3 linked regions of the Bombyx mori genome follow. The protein of the gene in region 1 binds, or shares a complex with, the protein of each later gene. Links are inferred from orthologs where the notes say so. Each region holds a gene or a part of one and is shown on either strand. Other genes may lie near its edges.

Region 1 (6,890 bases):
TGTGTCAAGATATTACAATATGGACATGTCATTTTATCCATAATGGTTTTTTTTTTAATGGAAAAAAAAACATTTTTAAGCCTCATCGGATACAATTTCTTTATTTATGAGATAAAGTAACAAAAAGCCCTGTCTAAATTTTGTCTCATACTGACAAGCGTCATTTCTAAGTCAACAGAAAGGGACAAAATATATTCCAAGGTGTTTTTGTATAAAATAAAATACAGATTTCTTTCACCATTAGCTAAGACTGTGTAGGGATATATACGACAAAGGGAAGATCTTCCACCGAGCAGATGATATTGCTCGGTAGACCGACGGTCCAAATGTTGTTGTTCGGAACTTGTATATATGCGCTTTATCTTGAAAATGTCGTAAGCGAGATTCAGGCATCTGTCAATTATCTTGCGTTGTATGATGGCTACCCGCCACAACTGGTAGCGTAGATTAATATTATTAACGCGTTTTTCACCTCAAACACAGATTCCAGCTAATTTCAAAATTCCGGAACAAATATCACAATAAATATGAAGTTCCGGTATTTTGGAGGCGTATCCATATTATCTTCTACGTTTGACGTCAACGACCTTAAATCAATCTACCTACTCCGACCTCTACTTATTACACATGTCAATTACATCTTCTATATTAATTATTTGAGTTTTCTTTGTAACTTGAACCTACCTGATCTACCAACGAAGTGTTTCCAACGTGTATATTGAGTTTGACGAGGACCCTCTGGTCGGTATGCTCCTCCAGTATGGGGGGAGGCTCGCTCGGGAAGGCATCGATCTGTTGCCGGATCGAGGAGGCCACAGCAGGTATGAAGGTGCTCGTGTTCAACTCTAAATCATCGCACAGCACCTCGGCAAACTGTTCTGGTGTTATTATTGATTCTGGAAAACAATCCTCCAATTTTTTATTTATTCAAAAACTTGTTAATAGGCTGCCTGCAATCCTTGTGAGAAAAAGCCTCAGACACAGCCCACTGAGTTTCTCGCCGGATCTTCTCAGTGGGTCGCGTTTCCGATCTGGTGGTAGATTCTGCGAAGCACACGGCTCTTGCTAGCGTTCGTGTTAACAACGTCATCACGTTTGAGCCCCGTGAGCTCACCTACTAGTTAAGGCAACGCTGATATAGCCTCTCAAGGCTATCAGCTTAGGCAGGAAAAAAAAGTGGGAACATACACATTATGGATATAAAAATTAAGGAGCGTATTCCTAAATTTATGTAAGGGTTGTGCTAAAAGAACAATATAGAATGAAAACGATAAAACATTAAAAATATTTTAACCAAATTTGCAGGGCGCATTGGAACTGTTCTGTGATCCAAGACAGTTGGACAAGGTCCTCCTGATCTTCAACACTTACTGCAGACCAACAATTTTCATTAAGCATGATTAAAGAACTTTATAAAGAATAGTTATAGTTAAAGATATAAGAAAATGTTATTATATATTTTCAATTGACAGTCGATACAATTCACAGTAAATACAGCCAATCTATTTATAATTTGGTAGACAGCAATTACACATTCTATTATTCAAATACTTTCTGAAATCAAAAATTGAGAATAAACAACCAGAATTGGTAACAAATGCAGTTAAACATACCATTTTTATTCCATGTAAATGTATCCCTGAGTTTTTGACCCTCAATCTCCATGTCCAATCGAATCGGTACAAGCACCTGCTTTTGCGAAGCATTCTCCAGCATTGCAGTCATGTCTGTGTCATCGAAACACAGTGGGAATGTTCTCACCTGAAAAGTATTCATTTTATGCTAGTTTTAATAATGATACTTTAGAACTATAGTATATTACATTAATTCCAATGTTCCATTTCAAAATCTGTTATTTATCTTACGATGTGTCTCTGATTTTGAGATATTCTATCTATCTTATCTATCTATCCTGAATCAGAAGCTAAATTAAATGTGTTGTGTTGACCTTAGAGTGTGGCCCCATGTCAAACATGATTAACTAGATAAACCTAGGAGTCAGAACCTGAAGCCCAACTGGACTTTAAGTTTTGACTTTAACATCCATTTTACCTTCTTATTATGCACCCTACTCCTGCTGATTGGAGTAGCCTGGGGTACAGCATCCAAATGAGAAGAGTTTGGCATGACTGGCAGCCATGATGGAGTGTGTGGCTTCTTGCTTTTGCTCTCACGGGGTGTCGCCAACTCTTGGCTGACGGACACTGCTTTGTATCTATAAATTAATTTAAAGCTGTGTCATAGCTGTAAATAGTTTAATGGACAACTGCTGTTTCATATACAATTCATAGTATTTAAGATTTCCTTGATATGCACACAGCAACTGACCAGAACCGATGGAGACTGGCACAGCTGAAACAGAGTCACAATCCTCAGCAATGAGGGAGCGATGAAGAAGAAAGATATGCACACATTTTGTTTTTTTTTTTATTGTCCTTAAAATAAGACAAACATACAATTCTTCTGATGGTAAGTGGTTAATGTCGTTCGTGGACTTCAATAGTGCCAGGTGCTCACCAAAACTTAAAGGTCTAATATTTCGACTGACTACTTCAGGTAGCTTCACTTATCATCAGATGGATTATGAACTCGTTCACCTGTCTATGCTAACACAGCAATTGTCGGTTTTAACCGCTTTCAATAGTTCACAAAATGTTTATAATGACGTACTTATCATCATTCCCTTCAATAATGTCTTCAACTTCTGACGCCTTCAACAGTGAAACTGAACTGGACAGCACATGAGGACCAAGACCGTTGTCAATTAATCGCTTACGTTCTTCATTGGTGAGGGTACGCCGGCACATGCCAGGGTACTTCTTGTAGAGTGACCCACGGAACAAGCGCAGGTAATTCCCGACCTAAGGCAATAGTTAATTTTTTTGCATTTTTAAGCGGGCATAAGACTAATCAAAATACAAAATCTGGAAATCTCAAGTTAAAACTGCTGTTTTCGACACCACAATATAATTTTGCATTGCTTTTAATTAAAACCACTGTTATTGTTTAATCATTTAAATTTTTTGTCATAACAATTTACAGTAGTTAGAACAGTGTTAATATGCCATGAAAAATGATAATGAAATGAATATAATAAATATGAAATTAGACCTTTTTTTATACAATTCAGAAACACTGAAGAAAATACATCATTGCTCATCTAAAAAAATAAGAGCAGAAACAGCATTGGGTGCCACAACTTGTTTTAATTTGCACTGCAAGCAATCACTGTCGTTTACTTATTCAATATAATTCATAATGGCGCTTTAGAAAGTTCTACTGTAGAATAGAAGATTATAGTGAGAAACTTCACATGAACACTGAATTATGCAACTAGATACAGAAAAAAGATAAAAAGTACAGTATGGTATCTTAAGCCAGTAGTTAAAATGGACTGGTAAACTTTCATGATTTGTATCTCTTTAACTAAAATCTTAGGTTTCTTAGCTAATGATGTTATTGTACATGTATATGTATTTGGGATTTTGTTAAATATGGATCTGTTTACTGGATTACTTACTCGATTATTGCTAAGAAAATGAGTTTTAAAGAATTGTCATTAAAGGGCAACATAATTATTACAGCTCAGTTTTGCCTTCTACAGAAATTCCTTAGTTATTTTATCTCCAAAATTTGTATTCCATTTTCATAAGGGTGATATAGACCTATTGTTCTATTTTTTATCTTATACTTTGATGGACAATAAACTATAGTCTGCTTTACAGTAATGGAAACCAAGCCTCATCGAAATAAGAATAATTCTAAAAGGCAAGTTTGTATAATAGACCAGATTGAGGTTAGGAACGATGTTCTTCGACAAAAGAAAGACTAGCTCCGTTAGTGAATGAAATAATTTTTAATAACGTATCTTTAAAATTATGTTTCGAGTAGTTCGATGTATTTTTAATCAAGAAATGTATGGAACTTACCTCTGAGCCAACACAATAAAAGTCTCCTCCTTCTTCGATTTGAAAACTTATCGGCTTATCGCCGTACGTACGTAAGGCCATTTTTGTAGTTGTGTTGTTCCTTTGATAAAATAATTACATTTACTTCAAGAATTGTAATGTTAATTTGGTAAGGGTAAAATTTATAAATCGTTTCTGTGAATATGTATATATGTATCCAATTATTTTTTTAATTTTATGACCTGGTAACGTACACCTTTAAGTCATATATTATTTTGGAAAGCTACTGGACGTAACTTCTTGGGATTCACCCAAAAGTCCACTGAAAAAATCTCAGTGAATGACCATCATTTTACTGAGATTATATTTCATCCCGTCTCATCTTATTTCCTTTAATTTCATCCCAGTTGATCCCTTTAATATATGTCTCAAATATTAATTTAAATTAATTTGAGACATTCTTGACATCTTCATTTCATTTCATTTCATTTCACTCCATATTATCAGTTTTCATAAAAATAAGAATATAAATTATAATAAGATATAAATTAGAATAAGAAGATTAAAATAAGATAATGACTTAAAGGTCTAGGCTACCAAGTCATAAAATAAAAAAACATTTTATTTGATTTTTTTTAAGAGATTTTATGACCTGGTATCTAAGACCTTTAAGTCATGTCTTATTTTACTTTATATTCTTAATTTTATGAAAAATGATAATATGGAGTGAAATGAAATGAAGATGATTAATTTGAGACATTAATCAACTGGGATGAAATTTAATGAAATGAGATGATATGGGATGAAATACAATCGTAGTAAAATGGTGGTCATTTACTGAGATTTTTTCAATGGACTTTTTGGAGGGACCCGAGAAGTTACGTCCAGCAGCTTTGTTTCATTTTCCCACATTTGTGCACTTTCACAGATATTAAACAGTTAATAAACCACCGTTATTACACATTTAAACCTGAAGAAACACTAAATAGACAAAATAAAACAAATCACACAACTTCACTCCTCGCGTTCCCGCCAAAAAGTCCTATTTTAATTGATTTTTTTTTTTTTAAGAGATTTTATGACCTGGTAACTAAGACCTTTAAGTCATGTCTTATTTTACTTTATAGTCTTAATTTTATGAAAAATGATAATATGGAGTGAAATGAAATGAAGATGATTAATTTGAGACATTAATCAACTGGGATGAATTTAATGAAATGAGATGATATGGGATGAAATATAATCGCAGTAAAATGGTGGTCATTTACTGAGATTTTTTCAGTGGACTTTTTGGAGGAACCCGAGAAGTTACGTCCAGCAGCTTTGTTTCATTTTCCCACATTTGTGCACTTTCACAGATATTAAACAGTTAATAAACCACCGTTATTACACATTTAAACCTGAAGAAACACTAAATAGACAAAATAAAACAAATCACACAACTTCACTCCTCGCGTTCCCGCCAAAAAGTAATTTAGTTCATAGACTATACACAAACACATATTGTTAGCATAGAGTATGATTGTATATAACTAATATAACCTAAATTTTTAGTCTGAAATTAAATGTCGTAGGGGAGTGTCGTCGCAGTCGTTGCGAATTTCAAAAGTGCTCGAAAAAAGAGACCATGTCTTCACGGCAAGGAACATTCAAAAACCCATTCTCCAGACCGTGGATGTCGGAGACAGGTGCAGCGGCTGCGGCTGGTGGTTCGGGTTCAGTAGGCTTAAAGGGAGTTGTAGCCGGCGGAATTACAGGAGGCATTGAAATTTGTATTACATTCCCAACAGAATATGTAAAAACACAACTGCAATTGGATGAAAAAGGTAAATAAAGCACGCCACAATTATCCGAACTAAGTTAGTTAACTAATTGGTGTTTTTCAATTCATAAATTCATTCAAATTTTATTTTTGTCTTATGATTTTGTATATACGTCATACGTAATTTTCCTGCTGTAGCGTAAATCTGTAGTTGAATAATTATGAATAAAGGGTTCTTTAGCACAGGAATTCAAGTTGTAACTAATCAACGTCTTTTTTAACCTTAAAATTTAAAACCAAAGGTTTCCATTACAAGTACATTTTACTGTGTAAACAACTGGAAATGGACTTTGTTCTTTTTTCTAATATCTTCAAGGTTATTCTAAATTAGCATTGAATTTCTTCTGCCTTAACTACGATATAGGTATACTACTACTACTTAATCGATTATTATTTATTAGTTACTTAAATACTTAAATCATGTTTTGAAAGGAATATTTTACAAATGAGAAAATAATTGCTTAGATTGAAGTTGCAAAGTATTCAGTATCAAATTAACTAACAAGTTCTATTACCAAAAGTAAAAGTTTTTCCTAATTTTTTCTCTTTTTAAACCAACTTCAAAAAAAAAGAGGTTCTCAATTTGATTGTTTTATAAATGTTATGTCATAACTTTATTCCGAGTGAACCGATTGTCTTATTTGAAAGCTGTATTATGTGGTCACATTTAAATTTTCTCAAGATCTGATCAGCAGTTTTTAAGCTATCCCCAATAATGCATATTTAATTGATTTTGACTATATGAATTATTATTATATCATCATGATATTTTGTTAATGTAAAATGTACAAAAGAAAACTGTCACCATCTTTCAAAAACGAGCATCATATTTGATGATTTTATGGTGGTGCCCCCATTTAATTTGGTGATGTTTTAATGAAGATCTACAGTCAAATACAATCTCTATACTATCTACATACAATCTTTCTCAATATATATACAATCTCTATACAATCACAAATATCTATGGTGATATGATATCTATCTGGTGGATGGGCTATATATCTGCCTACAAAGCAAAAAATATGTTATCACTCTAGCAGAGTAGTTAGTAACTTTTTTACCCCCAAGAGGGTAATTATCATAGGCTCTACAATTAAACATGTTATCACTTTAAAAATTACATTAAAGACTATAATTAATTCTTAAGTAAATAATTC
Region 2 (6,890 bases), on another chromosome or scaffold:
TTTGCCTACGTTTGCTGCTAGGGGCGCTGTTCCAACTGCATACAAATTTTTGTTCATTTTTACGCTATCGAGAATGTTAAAAAACTCACAAGCTAAGCACACTAAACACAACCGTTACACTCTGTAGGTACTTATGTATAGATAATTATGAAACGACGTATATACATATCGCGCAGAGACATCGCTAGTCGCGTAATACAGAGTATTATAATAATAATATTATGTGTGTAGTTTTATCATTTCGCTATCTTAATAAAATTATCTAAGGCAATCCGATTCGTCAGGAAAAATCACAAAGTTCTAATAATTGACACGCCGCTGTTTCGTGTTAAATAAAACATCTCAATACGTATCCTATTACGTACTAATCATTCATTCAAGATAATTTATTTTACTTTATATTTAACAGATGGGTGAAACTCGCTCACGGCCCATCTAGTGTTAAATGATTACCGCGCCCCATAGATAACACTAATTGAATGTTGCTAATCACCTTCGCTCTCCTGCTAGATGGAGCGACGACCTGCGCAAGGCAGCTGGCAGTAACTGGATGCGTAGAACCGAAGATCGGGTTCAGTGGCGAGCTTTGGGGGAGGCCTATGTTTAGCAGCGGACTGTTGCAGGCTGATGATAACTCACCTTGAGACGTGAGGTCTAAGTCTTAATTTTATAATTTAAAGGTTGTGCCGCACTTCAACCAACAACACATAATTGGTTCGCGACAGGAACTGACCGTGTGGTGGTTCCTACCAGAGAGAGCTCACGAGATACCCTACCATCAATAATTGTATATTTTTTCCGGTTTTGATTTTTATTAAATACACGACGTTATACCTTTTTTTTATGTGTGAGAGATTACTGGTGGCTCGGAGGCGTTTCCAATTTTACTAGGGCAGATGGGCGAGCATGGGCTCATCCAGGAGGGGTGGGATTTGCTAACAGCTACCCCAGTGCCTCCAAAGGATACCTAACAACTCAAAACTAGCTGGTTCGCGAATGAATCTACCACCGGATCGGAATCGCGACCCACTGAGAAGATCCGTCGAGAAACTCAGCGGGCTGATGTTTAGGTTAGGTTGCACGTCGAACTCTTGGCCGAGTTTAACGAGTACGGTTACCGGAATTTCTACTCCTAGTGTTAGAACTAAAGGTGTCTAATGCAAGAGTTATTGGATCTGATGGATCCGTAAGGACATGAACGTTCTCTTTCCATCGTGGAAGTCATACGTAGACATTATACCTACTCGTATAAGTGTGAATACATACGTACGTATGTTACAAAAATTGTTATCTTCCTCTGGGCATTTAACAACAGTATAGTCGTATTGCTCGATATGAGTTAATCGGGCGTCTTATTCTTAAGGCCACAATGACACTCGATCTCGGGAACTGCATATATAGGGGTAACTGTTATATACTATGAATATGAACTGTACCTTCACCGGGGTGTGGAAAGAAGAAAACGTTATCAGCATTCATGGGTCTGATAAAACAAAAGACCGCGTCTTAGGCAGTAGGCTACCATCCGATTATGTTTTATTGCCTTGCCTCTTCATGTCCCAAGATAAATTGTACGGGCATCTGCTCTGCAAGTGTCACGGAGATTTGTCTTCTCCGAGGGCATCCTTTTATCTTCAACCAGCTTGGATTCCATTCTAAACACTCATGCACACAATAAGCGCACGCTTCACGGAGCACATACCATTAGGGCTTAGCGTTTAGAATGAGGTAGGCATTTAGTTTTTATAGCCACCCACCTTGAGATATAGGTTCTAAGTTCTCAGTATAGTTACAACGGCTGCCCCACCCTTCAAACCGAAACGCATTACTGCTTCACGGCAGAAATAGGCAGGGCGGTGGTACCTACCCGCACGGACTTACAAGAGGTCCTACCACCAGTAAAAGTAGTTATAACAATGTTGCATGATTAAATTCACTCAAGATGAAAATGTCTTTAATAGCCTCTAGATAATAAGGAGCCTCTAGGATCTTAATAACGAGTTTTTAGTTAAAATACGTTTAGATTTAGTCTTATAATGGAAACGTTAAAAAAGCGATTGATTTATGTAGATTATGTAAATCGTTACCAGTTTTCCATCGATGGACGTCGCCAACGATCTACCTCGTGTGTGCTTAGTGCGAGGGTTTTAACTGCTCGATCGCGTAGAAATTAAATCAAATTTGTATGGAGTTGGAACAGCTTCCCTTCGTACGCCGCCTCTAGCGAAGAAGAACTGAAGACAGAGCCGAGTTGGACCATCTGAATTAAAACAATAGTACACAATTATATAATTGGGCTGTGAGGTCGTCCACCCATCTAAGCAATAAAAAAAACCACAGTCTCGATCAGCGTGTTTGTCCCGCACTAGTGAATCTGAATACTCTGTTTCCAAAGCCGCAGACATAAGTCATACACAATACGTAGCCTTAGTTTATACATGTACAGATAGGCTCAAACAATGAAACCTGGTAACATGACAATTAGCATTATTATCATCTACTAATTTCGCAATGTCAAGCCACACCTATCTCGGAATAATATTAAAAGGTACCCTAGCTTCATATGCTAGATAGCTTTTATCGAATCCATGAATGCTCACTTGCACTCCGCCCATAGTCAAAACAGCCCTTCGTTGTGAATGAGTTTATATGACCATTGCATGTATTTATAATGTATTTTGGTGTGACTTAAATAACATTTAATTTTTTAATAAATTAATTTAAAAATTTGTTCAGTGCGCTTTGAAGAAACTAACTGCATTCTAGCAGTTATTATCTTTATGTATTTACCATTAGCGTAGGTATTGCTCTAATGTAAATTGTGTGTGACGATAGCAACAATAATCATCAAGGGCGTTATTTGCAAGTAAAAAAAAAGAAGACAATGTAACGTTTTTTCATAACAACAACGCGATCCGATTACCCCCTTTATCGTGTATCGTTGTGTTGGCATTTTATCTTCCAAACCAGCTTCTTTCTTCTTCTTCTTTTTTTTTTAAATCTGACATTTGTTTTCTTAATGTTTATTTATGGCCAATAGTTACATTCTCTTTTATCTTAGTTTAATTTAAAAGATTTCTACATACAGAGTATATAAAAGCTTCTATTATTCCGTTATATGAAAAATGCTGTGCGATATGAGATTAACTTCATTAATTTGAGTCTTCAATCAATTGGGATGAAATTAAAAGAGACGACATGAAATGGGATAAAAAAAAGTAAAGTCTCCGTAAAATACAGTTTTTTTAGGATTGAGAGATTACTGGTGGCCCGGAGGCCTTTTCAATTTCGCCAGGACAGATCGGCGAGCAAACACTCAGCCAGGATTTGCTAACAACTGCCCGAGCGCCTCCAAAGAGACCTAACAACCCACGAGCAGCAAAATAGTGGTTATTTACTGAAAGTTCGGTGGATTTTTTCGAAAAACCAGAGATGCCACGTTCGGTGGCTTGTGTTTAATTTTCCCACATTTGTACATACACTTTCACTAATGCCAAATAGTTAACAAATCACAATTTTTACACAATTAAACGCGAAGAGATCCAAAATCAACATTTTAAAACGACCTTAGAATGAACGTACAATTTAATAATCGACTAACAAAACTATGTGTTACATTTGATACCATAAATTGCTCTACTCTAATCTACGTTGACAACGTCAATTGTCATTTGGTTCAATTAAATTAAAAATGGAATGAAAGATGGAGATTGAAATAGGCCCGTTAGTATTTTAATGAAAAAGACGCGTTGCCATTATCGAGCCTTTTAAAAATTAAACCAAGCTTGAACTTTCAATAAAAGCGATAAGGTAGTACGATACATCATTTATTAAGTTTTAACTTACTTTACTCTTTGGTTTTTACTAAATAAGTAAGTAAGTAATATGGTTGCATAAAACTTTATTTTTATAAACAATGTATCTTGATAGCGGATTTGTTCGTATTACAACAAAAAAGTAAACAGACTTACAAAATAATTGTTGCATTATTTCCAAGCAATTTCATTCAAAAAAATTAAACATTTTAAGTTATCTTTAAATTCAAATACATCCGTACTGTTGGCATTTTCATTAAGATGTTTAACAATGCAAACACAGCGTGATCATAGCCTCTTTATATTAGCCTATCCAAATAAGACTCCAATTTAATCATTTGTAATATTAGTCATTCAGCCTCCCTTCAACAAAGTGGTTATAAAATGAAGCGAATAAAAAAGAACTGACTTTCAATATCGACGTCGTCTCTTGTTTTTTTCAGTTTTGTGATTTCCACCTATAACATTTTAATTAAAAGTATTAAGTACAGATTAAGGATATATTTTTGTTTGTTTTCCCAAACACCTTATGTAGACTAGAAATCATTAAATGAAACTTAATAAAATGCAAACGAGGGGATTGAAATTAAATTGCCATAACTGCAATACATTTTTTAAATAATCCCCATTATACAGCTGGTGTTCTTTCTGTAATTATATACATCCCAAAAATTTGAACAAGAAGTGCTTGTGAAGTAGTTTCACCAGTATTGAGTTTGTAATGGTGTGAGACTTGTTTTATAAAATGTATAATATGACTATGACACTAGCTCATAAACTATGAGTACAAAAAATAAAGAATGATAAGCCAATAAATATGCTTGTTTTGGAATAAATTCAAAATTTGGTTTCAGGTGTGCCAATGGCTACACAAAACAATTACAAACAAAACACTTCGATGTCAATGCCCAGTCCTCAGAGCAATCCGCGTTTGTATTACCAACTATAATCACAAAAAATTTAAATATATATTTTATTAAATTTTAAATATTATTAATGTAGTGAATGTTGACTGCCATTGAATTTGTAATGATATGTTCTAAACAGCTAATTTTATTTAAAAACTAGATAATACTAATCTTTTAAAAATGTTTCCTTTTATATAAACTTTGTTGGATTTTCTCTTAATTTAAGTCTGATCTGATTTAAATGTTTCCTGAGACCTCTTCATATTTACATTGATATGCTGTGAGTTTTCTTGCAGCAAAATAATGGAGGGACAAGATGGCAATCAACACATTACACTGTATATTTTAAATTATAAATTAGTAAGAAATAAGTTAGTAATAAGCTAATGTAATGATAGCAGTGCTAATTACGTTTAGATTTTTTTAATAAAATATTAATGGCAATAGTTATAGTATTTTATCAAATAGATTGTTTATTGTTAGTAAGAATGTTGTTAGATACTAACTTCATTAACATGTGAAGTTGTCGCCATTGCAAGCTTGGCAGTGCTGAGAACTGTACCTGATATAGCTGGTATCTAACTGCATTTAAACTTTTTACTTAGAGCATGACTCCCATATCTTAGCTTTTAAGCTACAGTAACAAAACTTATTTTTTTCTTACTTTAATTTTATCCTAATGCATTTTAGACTTACATTCCATTATGTTGGTTTTGTTTCATGTTTTGTTATAATGATACAGACTACATGATTGCGGGCCCCCCAATGAGTTTCGGCATGATGAAAGGTAATGCCACAATCTAAATTGACTTTCTATTCAAAATTTTGTATCACACACCCATTTTCGTTTCAAAACTTAGGTATTTCTGTGGGGTTATTAAAAAAGATAATTGCACAAAATTTTTCTCTTCTCTCAACGACACAAGCCATCACCTCTTTAGTCTTTCGCTAATTAAAGCCTACTAAAAAATTTACAGCTAGATTGCTCGCAAATAACTTTCTTAACGTTTATTTTTTAATTTTTCTAGATGTTTTAGTGCATATTTGAATTTTTGTTGGCTCCCCTCCCGTCCTGCTCCTTTACGCTTTTTGTTTTTTTTTTCTTTCATTGTATTGCCGCCCGCTGCTTGGCTTGAAGGCGGTATGAATGCACCGTCGCCGCACCATAACCAATATCAGTACCACCCGCAATACCAAGGTGGGGGGGGCATGGTTCACCCGGGTCCCCCGGGGGGCTACGGCCCGTGGCACGCCCCCCAGCAACAGGGCCGTTTCGCTGCAGAGGGCGCCCGCCGCGCGGCCTCCGCCTCACAGCCCTCACAAGGTGCCAAAGATGATAAGACAAGTCCATTTGTATCCACCGTACATTCACATCCTGGATTCCAACCTCAGAAAATCGGGAAAGGTGCTGGTGTTGTAAGTATAATCTGTATCACTATTTGTTACTGTATTCAAAATACACTTTACATTAATACAAAAAGCCACAAATACCAAAAACTGTCTTAACTTATAAAATTTTTGTTTCCTATATAACAAACCATATTTATTACTACCCCAGGGAGCCGGACTACCAAAGCCACCAAAACCTCCAGAAAAACCTCTCATGCCGTACATGAGGTACTCACGCCGTGTATGGGACAGTGTAAAAGCAGCACATCCAGACCTCAAACTATGGGAAATTGGACGTATAATAGGCGGCATGTGGAGGGACCTGCCTGAATCTGAGAAAGCTGGGTTTGTCGATGAATATGAAGCTGAAAAGGTATGAGAGGCTGTCTGCTGATGCAAAATCTATACTTCTATACTTAATATACACTACAGTGGTTTTTACGGATGTTCCATTATAACTACTGAACCATGCATCCGATTGACTTGAAACTTAGTATCCATGTAGAAAATACATGTACTTAATAGATGGGCTAATATTTATATGAGTGTTGGACTCCCTACACCAGTTGTGGGGGTGTTGACGATGAGAATCTTTATGGGGGTGAGAAATAATAATGTTTATTTTAAATGCCCAGAGAAGCAGACGGGCACAGCTAGTAACATATAAAAATGCTTAAAGAAACAAATTGCAATTTCTGTGTACAATTATACATTTAAAATAATGTTTTTTATTTATTTTATTAACTATTGCTGCTAAATACTGAGAGCAAGTATTGGA
Region 3 (6,790 bases), on another chromosome or scaffold:
CATTTATTCTTTTTGAAGGGCAGCACCGACAGATAACCTTATAATTATGTATTACCATAAAATATTACCATATAATACTCTCCAAAATTTATAATTATTTAAAATCGATTATTAATTTATAAGTTTCAATATTTTTTTAGTCTATTATATTACGATAACGACGTGTAGAGCTAGTGCGTAGACGATCGACCCCGAGGACTTTTTGGCAGGAACGCAAGTAGTGAAGTTGTGTATTTTGTTTTATTTTGTCTATTTAGTGGTTTATTAACTGTTTAATATATGTGAAAGTGGACAAATTTAGGAAAATGGAACAAAGCCGCTGGACGTAGCTTCTCGAGATCCTCCAAAAAGCCCGCTGAAAAAATCTCAGTAATAAATAACCATCATTTTACTGCGATTATATTTCATTCCATATCATCTCATCTCATTTAATTTAATTTCTATTATCATTTTTCATAAAAATAAGAATATAAATTAAAATAAGACTTGACTAAAAGGTCTTAGTTACCAGGTCACAAATCTCCTAAAAAAAAACGACCCCGCCCGCTACAGGAACTACTAGGAGTTACCTAGTTTCATCCTCATCGTCGTTCTCTTGCAGCAGCTTGCACTGCTTGATGAGCTCGACGCTGGTGGAGACGGTGTCGCGCGTGAAGGTGAGCGCCGGCGACTGCAGCGTGCCGCGGCACAGCGCGTCCCTCTGCTCTATGTAGTAGCACTGCAGCTCGACTGAGTCTTCGAAAATTTGACTATCTGTACGGGAGAGGCGACGTGCTCTGCGAAAATGTTCAAAAACAGATTTTAGATAGCACAATACCACTGCTTGTTTCTGGCGAAAACAGCCTGCATTCTGATTCATAGTCCGGCGCGGCTGTATATAATGCAGTTTAGATTTCTACTCCATGTGTATAGGTGAGTGACGGTCATGTTGTGATGTCTGTGGACACCGCTATTTTTTTATTGCTTAGATGTGTGGGCGAGCTCACAGCCCACCTGGTGTTAAGTGGTTACTGGAGTCCATAGACATCAACAATGTAAATGCGCTACACACCTTGAGATATATGTTCTAAGGTCTCAGTATAGTTACAACGGCTGCCCCACCCTTCAAACAGAAACGCATTACTGCTTCACGGCAGAAATAGGCAGGGTGGTGGTACCTACCCGTGCGGACTCACAAGAGGTGCTGCCACCAATAAACCAGATTTCTACTTCATGTGTATAGGTTAATGACGGTCATGTTGTGGTATCTATAGACACCGCTGTTCATTTAACAGCAGTACGTTACGAGCGGTGCAGCTTACAGATAAATTAGATTAATTAATACTTTTTTTTTTACTTGATTACCTTTCAAACACAGCAAACATATCTTGCTGGAAATGATCCAGTCTCTTGTACAGCCCTTTGTCAAGTCTTCTCTTGACCAAATCCAGCGATATAGCTCGCATCTTCTCGCCATTGTTTGTTTCGTCGTGTTCCGGTAACTCGGCCATGCTGTCTGAGTAACACCTGAACATTTTCAAAATAGAATTCATTATTACACTGAAATATTACTGAAAATCAATAAAATAAAACAAAAATCAGTGTTCAAGTGACAAATTGAGAAAATATCACTTCAAATTTAATGTTTCAAATAATTCACTAATGTGAAGCATTCACTTAATTTAATTTAGAACTTAGGCAATTTAGAAGATCAGATCAGAATAGAGAAGATTAATCAAAAATATTACAAAAATGATTTGACACATGAAATATATTTTATAATGTACATATACAAAATATTAGTAAAAAAGACAGTATAAATATTATCAAAAGTGTCAAAAATAATTAAGAAGATGTATAAGAAGATCAAGAATAATTAAGATGATGAGTGATTAAATATTCAGCGTACTGAATTTCCTCCCAATCATTTTAGTTTTGTAGTAAATCTGATATAACGATACAAGTTTCCTACCATTAAACATTTGGTTTTAACGACTATTCTCACCTCCCCTCTTCATCTTGATGATTGTATACTGTGGTAAAGAGATTCAATAATAGTTCTTGGACAGCGGCTGGAACGTCGGGCACTGCATCGTCGTCTTGACTGTTGACGGAAATATTTTTGTACATTTATTCAATTTAAGTTTTAATGCTCATATATGTATACAACGTGTTACAAAATACTCCGTAAAAAATATAATTAATTATCAAAGACAAAAATTTTGTTAACCCTAGTAAGCTGTCATGTCAGGGAACAAAATTATTTAACAGAAAAGCCTACATACCTATTTTACTTAATAATTGTCTACTCTAATAATTTTTCTATTTTTCAATCATAAATATTTGCTACCTCAATACAAGGATATCATTATACTCAAGTACTGGCTTAAAAAAATGTCAAGTAGGAAAAAAATGTATGTTTTTCATGTAGGTGCACTCTGCGTAGTTTAATATTATAAATGTAAAAGTGAAAGAAGCCGCTGGCACAGTCTAGTGTCTATATATGAAACGTTATTATGTTACTCCCTTTTATAACTTTGATTTATTCAATTTGGCAGTATAAATTCGACATACCTAGGTACGTTAATCATGAAGCTTACTAATTGCTAAAACTTATAAGACTTTACCTTAACATCTGCTTGGTCTGCAGACAGACTCTGTGCAGTATCAAAGCGTCCTTGTAGATCTGCGAGTCGGGCTCATTGTACTTGCAGGCGTTATCGAACATCAGTATGAAATCCGAAGCCAGCTCGTTAACTGAACTGTAACTGTTGCTCTTCAATTTGTGAGCAATCTTCTCCATGTCTATCGGGTTCTTGATGAGCTCATAATAATCAGGGTACTCAGTTTTACTGGGTAGCTTCATGAAGATCAGGGCCAGCTGGCGGTTGGCTGTAATCACAGAGACCACTTTTTTTAAACGGATGAATGGTGGAACAGGAAGAATTTATTTATTGGCACTTCGCAGCAAGTTGGTGAGTTCGTCTACCTACTTGAAGCACTAAAATTAAATTAAAATTCCGGCAATGGAATGAGCTCCCCTCCACGGTGTTTCCCGAGCGCTATGACATGTCCTTCTTCAAACGAGGCTTGTGGAGATTATTAAGCGGTAGGCAGCGGCTTGGCTCTGCCCCTGGCATTGCTGAAGTCCATGGGCAACGGTAACCACTCACCATCAGGTGGGCCGTGCGCTCGTCTGCCTACAAGGGCAATAAAAAAAGTCGTCGTGGCCTAAAGGATAAGACGTCCGGTGCATTCGTGTGTAGCGATGCACCGGTGTTCGAATCCCGCAGGCGGGTACCAATTTTTCTAATGAAATACGTACTCAACAAATGTTCACGATTGACTTCCACGGTGAAGGAATAACATCGTGTAATAAAAATCAAACCCGCAAAATTAGAATTTGCATAATCACTGGTGGTAGGACCTCTTGGGAGTCCGCACGGGTAGGTACCACCACCCCGCCTATTTCCGCCGTGAAGCAGTAATGCGTTTCGGTTCGAAGGGTGGGGTAGCCGTTGTAACTATACTGAGACCTTAGAACTTATATCTCAAGGTGGGTGGCGCATTTACGTTGTAGATGTCTATGGGCTCCAGTAACCACTTAACATCAGGTGGGCTGTGAGCTCGTCCACCCATCTAAGCAATAAAAAAATAAAAAATAAAAAAAAAATAAACGGTCATCTCACCTTTTGGATCCCTATAGTCCCGGATAGCGTCATACAACGTTCTCAGCTTCTGTTCGAACGGCGACAGTTGCCTCGACCTTGGCTGAGCCTTCAGACTCTTCATGGGCGTCTTTTTCTCGTAATTGCTGTTCAATTCCTTTATCTTTTCGTTCATGACCCGTTCTAGAAGGTTCGCGTCCTCGTATACCATAGAGCCCTCTTCGTTGAAATGGCGGCAGTTTGAGAACATCAAACGGAAGTCCGCTATCATCTCTTCTAGTGAATTATAACGATCGTTCTGTTGGCGATTTGTTTTAATCAGTTTTAATAATAACTCAAAACGTTGAGAACGAGAAAAGGAAGAAAGAGACACTAAAGGAGATAATAGTTTTTCAGAAATCACATAGTGCAGTAACAAGACAGTAAGTTTATTTAACGTAAAGAAAATCCGCGTTTTTGCGTTATCCGCTTAATGGTTCAATTTAGACAATGTGTATTTCTGAGTGTTTTGTTTCTTCTTACACAACATTCAAAACTATTCGTGAATATAAATATCTTGGGGAACAGTGGATAATGTTGGTATAGCTATGGTGACCAACTATTTTTTGTTTAAAAAGAGTACACCTTGCAAGTATTTCATAGGTGACAAATAAAGAAGAAAAAACGATAAAAACTTTATTTTCTTTTAATAATATTATTCTTTGCAGTGGATTTTTTGCTAAATGAGGATTTCTGTCTAATAATGTAGCCACATCCAAACAACTTTGCATATTAAATTTGACTACATGTGCTATAGTATAGCACATGTAGTCGACATACAACGATATCGAAGTCGTCATGGCCTAAAGGATAAGACGTCCAGTGCATTCGTATCCAACGATGCACCGGTGTTCGAATCTCAGGCGGGTACCAATTTTTTTAATGAAATACGTACTTGACAAATGTTCACGATAGACTTCCACGGTGAAGGAATAACATCGTGTAATAAAAATCAATACCGCAAAATTATAATTTGCATAATTACTGGTGGTAGGACCTCTTGTGAATCCGCACGGGTAGGTACCACCATCCTGACTTTTTCTGCGGTGAATCTGTAATGCGTTTCGGTTTGAAGGGCCCCACCCTTGTAACTATAGTCTATAGCCGTTGTGACTATACTGAGACCTTAAACTTATATCTCAAGGTGGGTGGCGCATTTACGTTGTACATGTCTATGGGCTCCAGTAACCACTTAACACCAGGTGCGCTGTGAGCTCGTCTACCCATATAAACAATAAATAATAAAAACGTACCTTAATGTTAGCTTCAATCGTCAGCATATCGATGGGCCGATCGATGACGTTGTAATATTCCGGATACAGTTTCTTGCTGGGCTTTTCCATGAACAGCAGCATCGGCTGGCGGCCGTCGGAGCACGTGAACTCGACCAGCTGCTTGGCCACGTAGTGCAGCTTCTTCTTCAGCGGCATGTTCGGCTTCAGCACGAGCGGCGCGGCGGCGGGCGGCGGGGCGGGCGCGGGCAGCGGGTTGATGCGCGGACGACCTGGACATTTTGTTTACTCACCATTTGAGCAAGCACTACAATTTAACGACATTTCTTTTATTTATCTTTGGAACGAACTTCCTTATGGAACGATGCCGATGGGCACCCTAACCGGGAAAAAACGTTCGTAACGTAATATTTTTTATTAGTAATGCATACAGTGTACGACTTAACTTTGTAATAACGTACAAAAAATAACATATTTTTTTATCATTCATTGACCACGATCTCAGAGCGTTCGTTTGCGCAATACACTTACTCTTATGCAAACAACCGTGAATGAAGTGTACCACAATAAGTTCGCACGTTACCGAATGACCCTGAGTTGTTGCGAAACCTCCAGTTTTATTTTCTTTATACCTCGAATAGAATTTAAAATTAATATTTTTATAATAAGGAACTTCGTTCCTATCCGGTGTCCCACGACACCACACATCGTTTATTTATGTATTTAATTTGAATATGGCTTACCTCTTGGCCGTGGAGTCTGCACTTGAGTTTGATTCTTTACTGAAGACAGGCTTTCATCATCACTCGATGATGACTGAACTATATCCAGGAGTTCTTGGACACGTTGTTGCATTAAGCTTTAAGTAAAATATTTCACTTTTAAATTTCAATGATAATAGCGTGTATCAATTATTACTGTTGGAGGATCTTTTAGTAGTCGGGGAATGGGGCCAGACTACACCCCTGGAGGTAGGTGGAAATCCGCCGGGCAGGAATTTTACTTATTTATATTCTTTGGTTTTTTTTTATTATTGTTGAAAGTCAAACTAGTTATTAGAAAATAATAAAAAAAAAGTTACAAAACAAATTCTCTGAAATTTTTCACAAAACTATGTAAGGAAAAATTACTCCAAGTTTTGTGCGATCTTACATGCATAGTAAATACACAGCCCTCTGAAATAGTTACCAATTTTATTATCATAAGATATTGTATTGCTAACCATACAGTTTTTTTTTAATTTTGAGCATAAGAGTTTCAAGTTTCTTTACTTATTTGCTAAATTCATCTTGATTTTAGAAATGTTCATACAATCTTCTGCCAATTGAGACAGAAAGTGCCGAAATTGTCAAAACAACGAGTACGCTGTCATAAAATCAGACGAACTCTTAATTACTATTATTATATACAAATCACATACCGTTGCAATTTTACAGAGTCCTTATATAGTCTGGAAGTGGGGGCGTTGTACTGTTTGGCGTTCTCAAACATAATATTCATATCACCCGCCACCTCGGACAGAGTACCGTAGCTGCCACGTCGTATTTTGTTTTTGATTTGGTTTAAAGACACAGGGTTCTTTATCTCCTTGTAATAATTAGGGTAGGCGCGACGAGATGGTAATTTCCAAAATGGTTCGGCCATTGGTAACCCTGAAATTAGCATGCAGTATTTTAATTAGGTATGAAGATATATTAAGAAGATATTTAAGTCGTCGTGGCCTAAAGGATAAGACGTCCAGTGCATGCGTATCTAGCGATGCACCGGTGTTCGAATCTCGCAGGCAGGTACCATTTTCTAATGAAATACGTACTTAACAAATGTTCACGATTGACTTCCATGGTGAAGGAATAACATCGTGTAATAAAAATC

The links.
Region 2: SWI/SNF-related matrix-associated actin-dependent regulator of chromatin subfamily B member 1-A (region 1) and SWI/SNF-related matrix-associated actin-dependent regulator of chromatin subfamily E member 1 share a complex: the UniProt entries of both Homo sapiens proteins name them as parts of the BAF complex. The link is inferred for Bombyx mori from reciprocal best matches to the Homo sapiens genes SMARCB1 and SMARCE1.
Region 3: SWI/SNF-related matrix-associated actin-dependent regulator of chromatin subfamily B member 1-A (region 1) and protein polybromo-1 share a complex: the UniProt entries of both Homo sapiens proteins name them as parts of the SWI/SNF-B (PBAF) chromatin remodeling complex. The link is inferred for Bombyx mori from reciprocal best matches to the Homo sapiens genes SMARCB1 and PBRM1.

The regions. Positions count from the first base shown.
Region 1 is NC_085122.1:12,049,819-12,056,708, forward strand, and holds the start of SWI/SNF-related matrix-associated actin-dependent regulator of chromatin subfamily B member 1-A, read right to left. Parts: upstream 4,186-6,890; 5' UTR 4,011-4,185; coding exon 3,930-4,010; intron 2,862-3,929; coding exon 2,671-2,861; intron 2,216-2,670; coding exon 2,053-2,215; intron 1,762-2,052; coding exon 1,614-1,761; intron 897-1,613; coding exon 685-896; intron 1-684. Other genes in the region: putative tricarboxylate transport protein, mitochondrial, read left to right, coding at 5,536-5,734.
Region 2 is NC_085120.1:6,523,041-6,529,930, reverse strand, and holds the start of SWI/SNF-related matrix-associated actin-dependent regulator of chromatin subfamily E member 1, read left to right. Parts: upstream 1-3,651; 5' UTR 3,652-3,810; exon of another isoform or gene 3,811-3,872; intron 3,873-4,669; 5' UTR 4,670-4,677; coding exon 4,678-4,744; intron 4,745-5,465; coding exon 5,466-5,510; intron 5,511-5,861; coding exon 5,862-6,139; intron 6,140-6,281; coding exon 6,282-6,485; intron 6,486-6,890. UniProt on the Homo sapiens protein: Involved in transcriptional activation and repression of select genes by chromatin remodeling (alteration of DNA-nucleosome topology).
Region 3 is NC_085132.1:4,599,469-4,606,258, forward strand, and holds part of protein polybromo-1, read right to left. Parts: intron 6,571-6,790; coding exon 6,339-6,570; intron 5,778-6,338; coding exon 5,662-5,777; intron 5,191-5,661; coding exon 4,940-5,190; intron 3,946-4,939; coding exon 3,669-3,945; intron 2,872-3,668; coding exon 2,607-2,871; intron 2,084-2,606; coding exon 1,985-2,083; intron 1,507-1,984; coding exon 1,345-1,506; intron 777-1,344; coding exon 570-776; intron 1-569. UniProt on the Homo sapiens protein: Involved in transcriptional activation and repression of select genes by chromatin remodeling (alteration of DNA-nucleosome topology). Required for the stability of the SWI/SNF chromatin remodeling complex SWI/SNF-B (PBAF).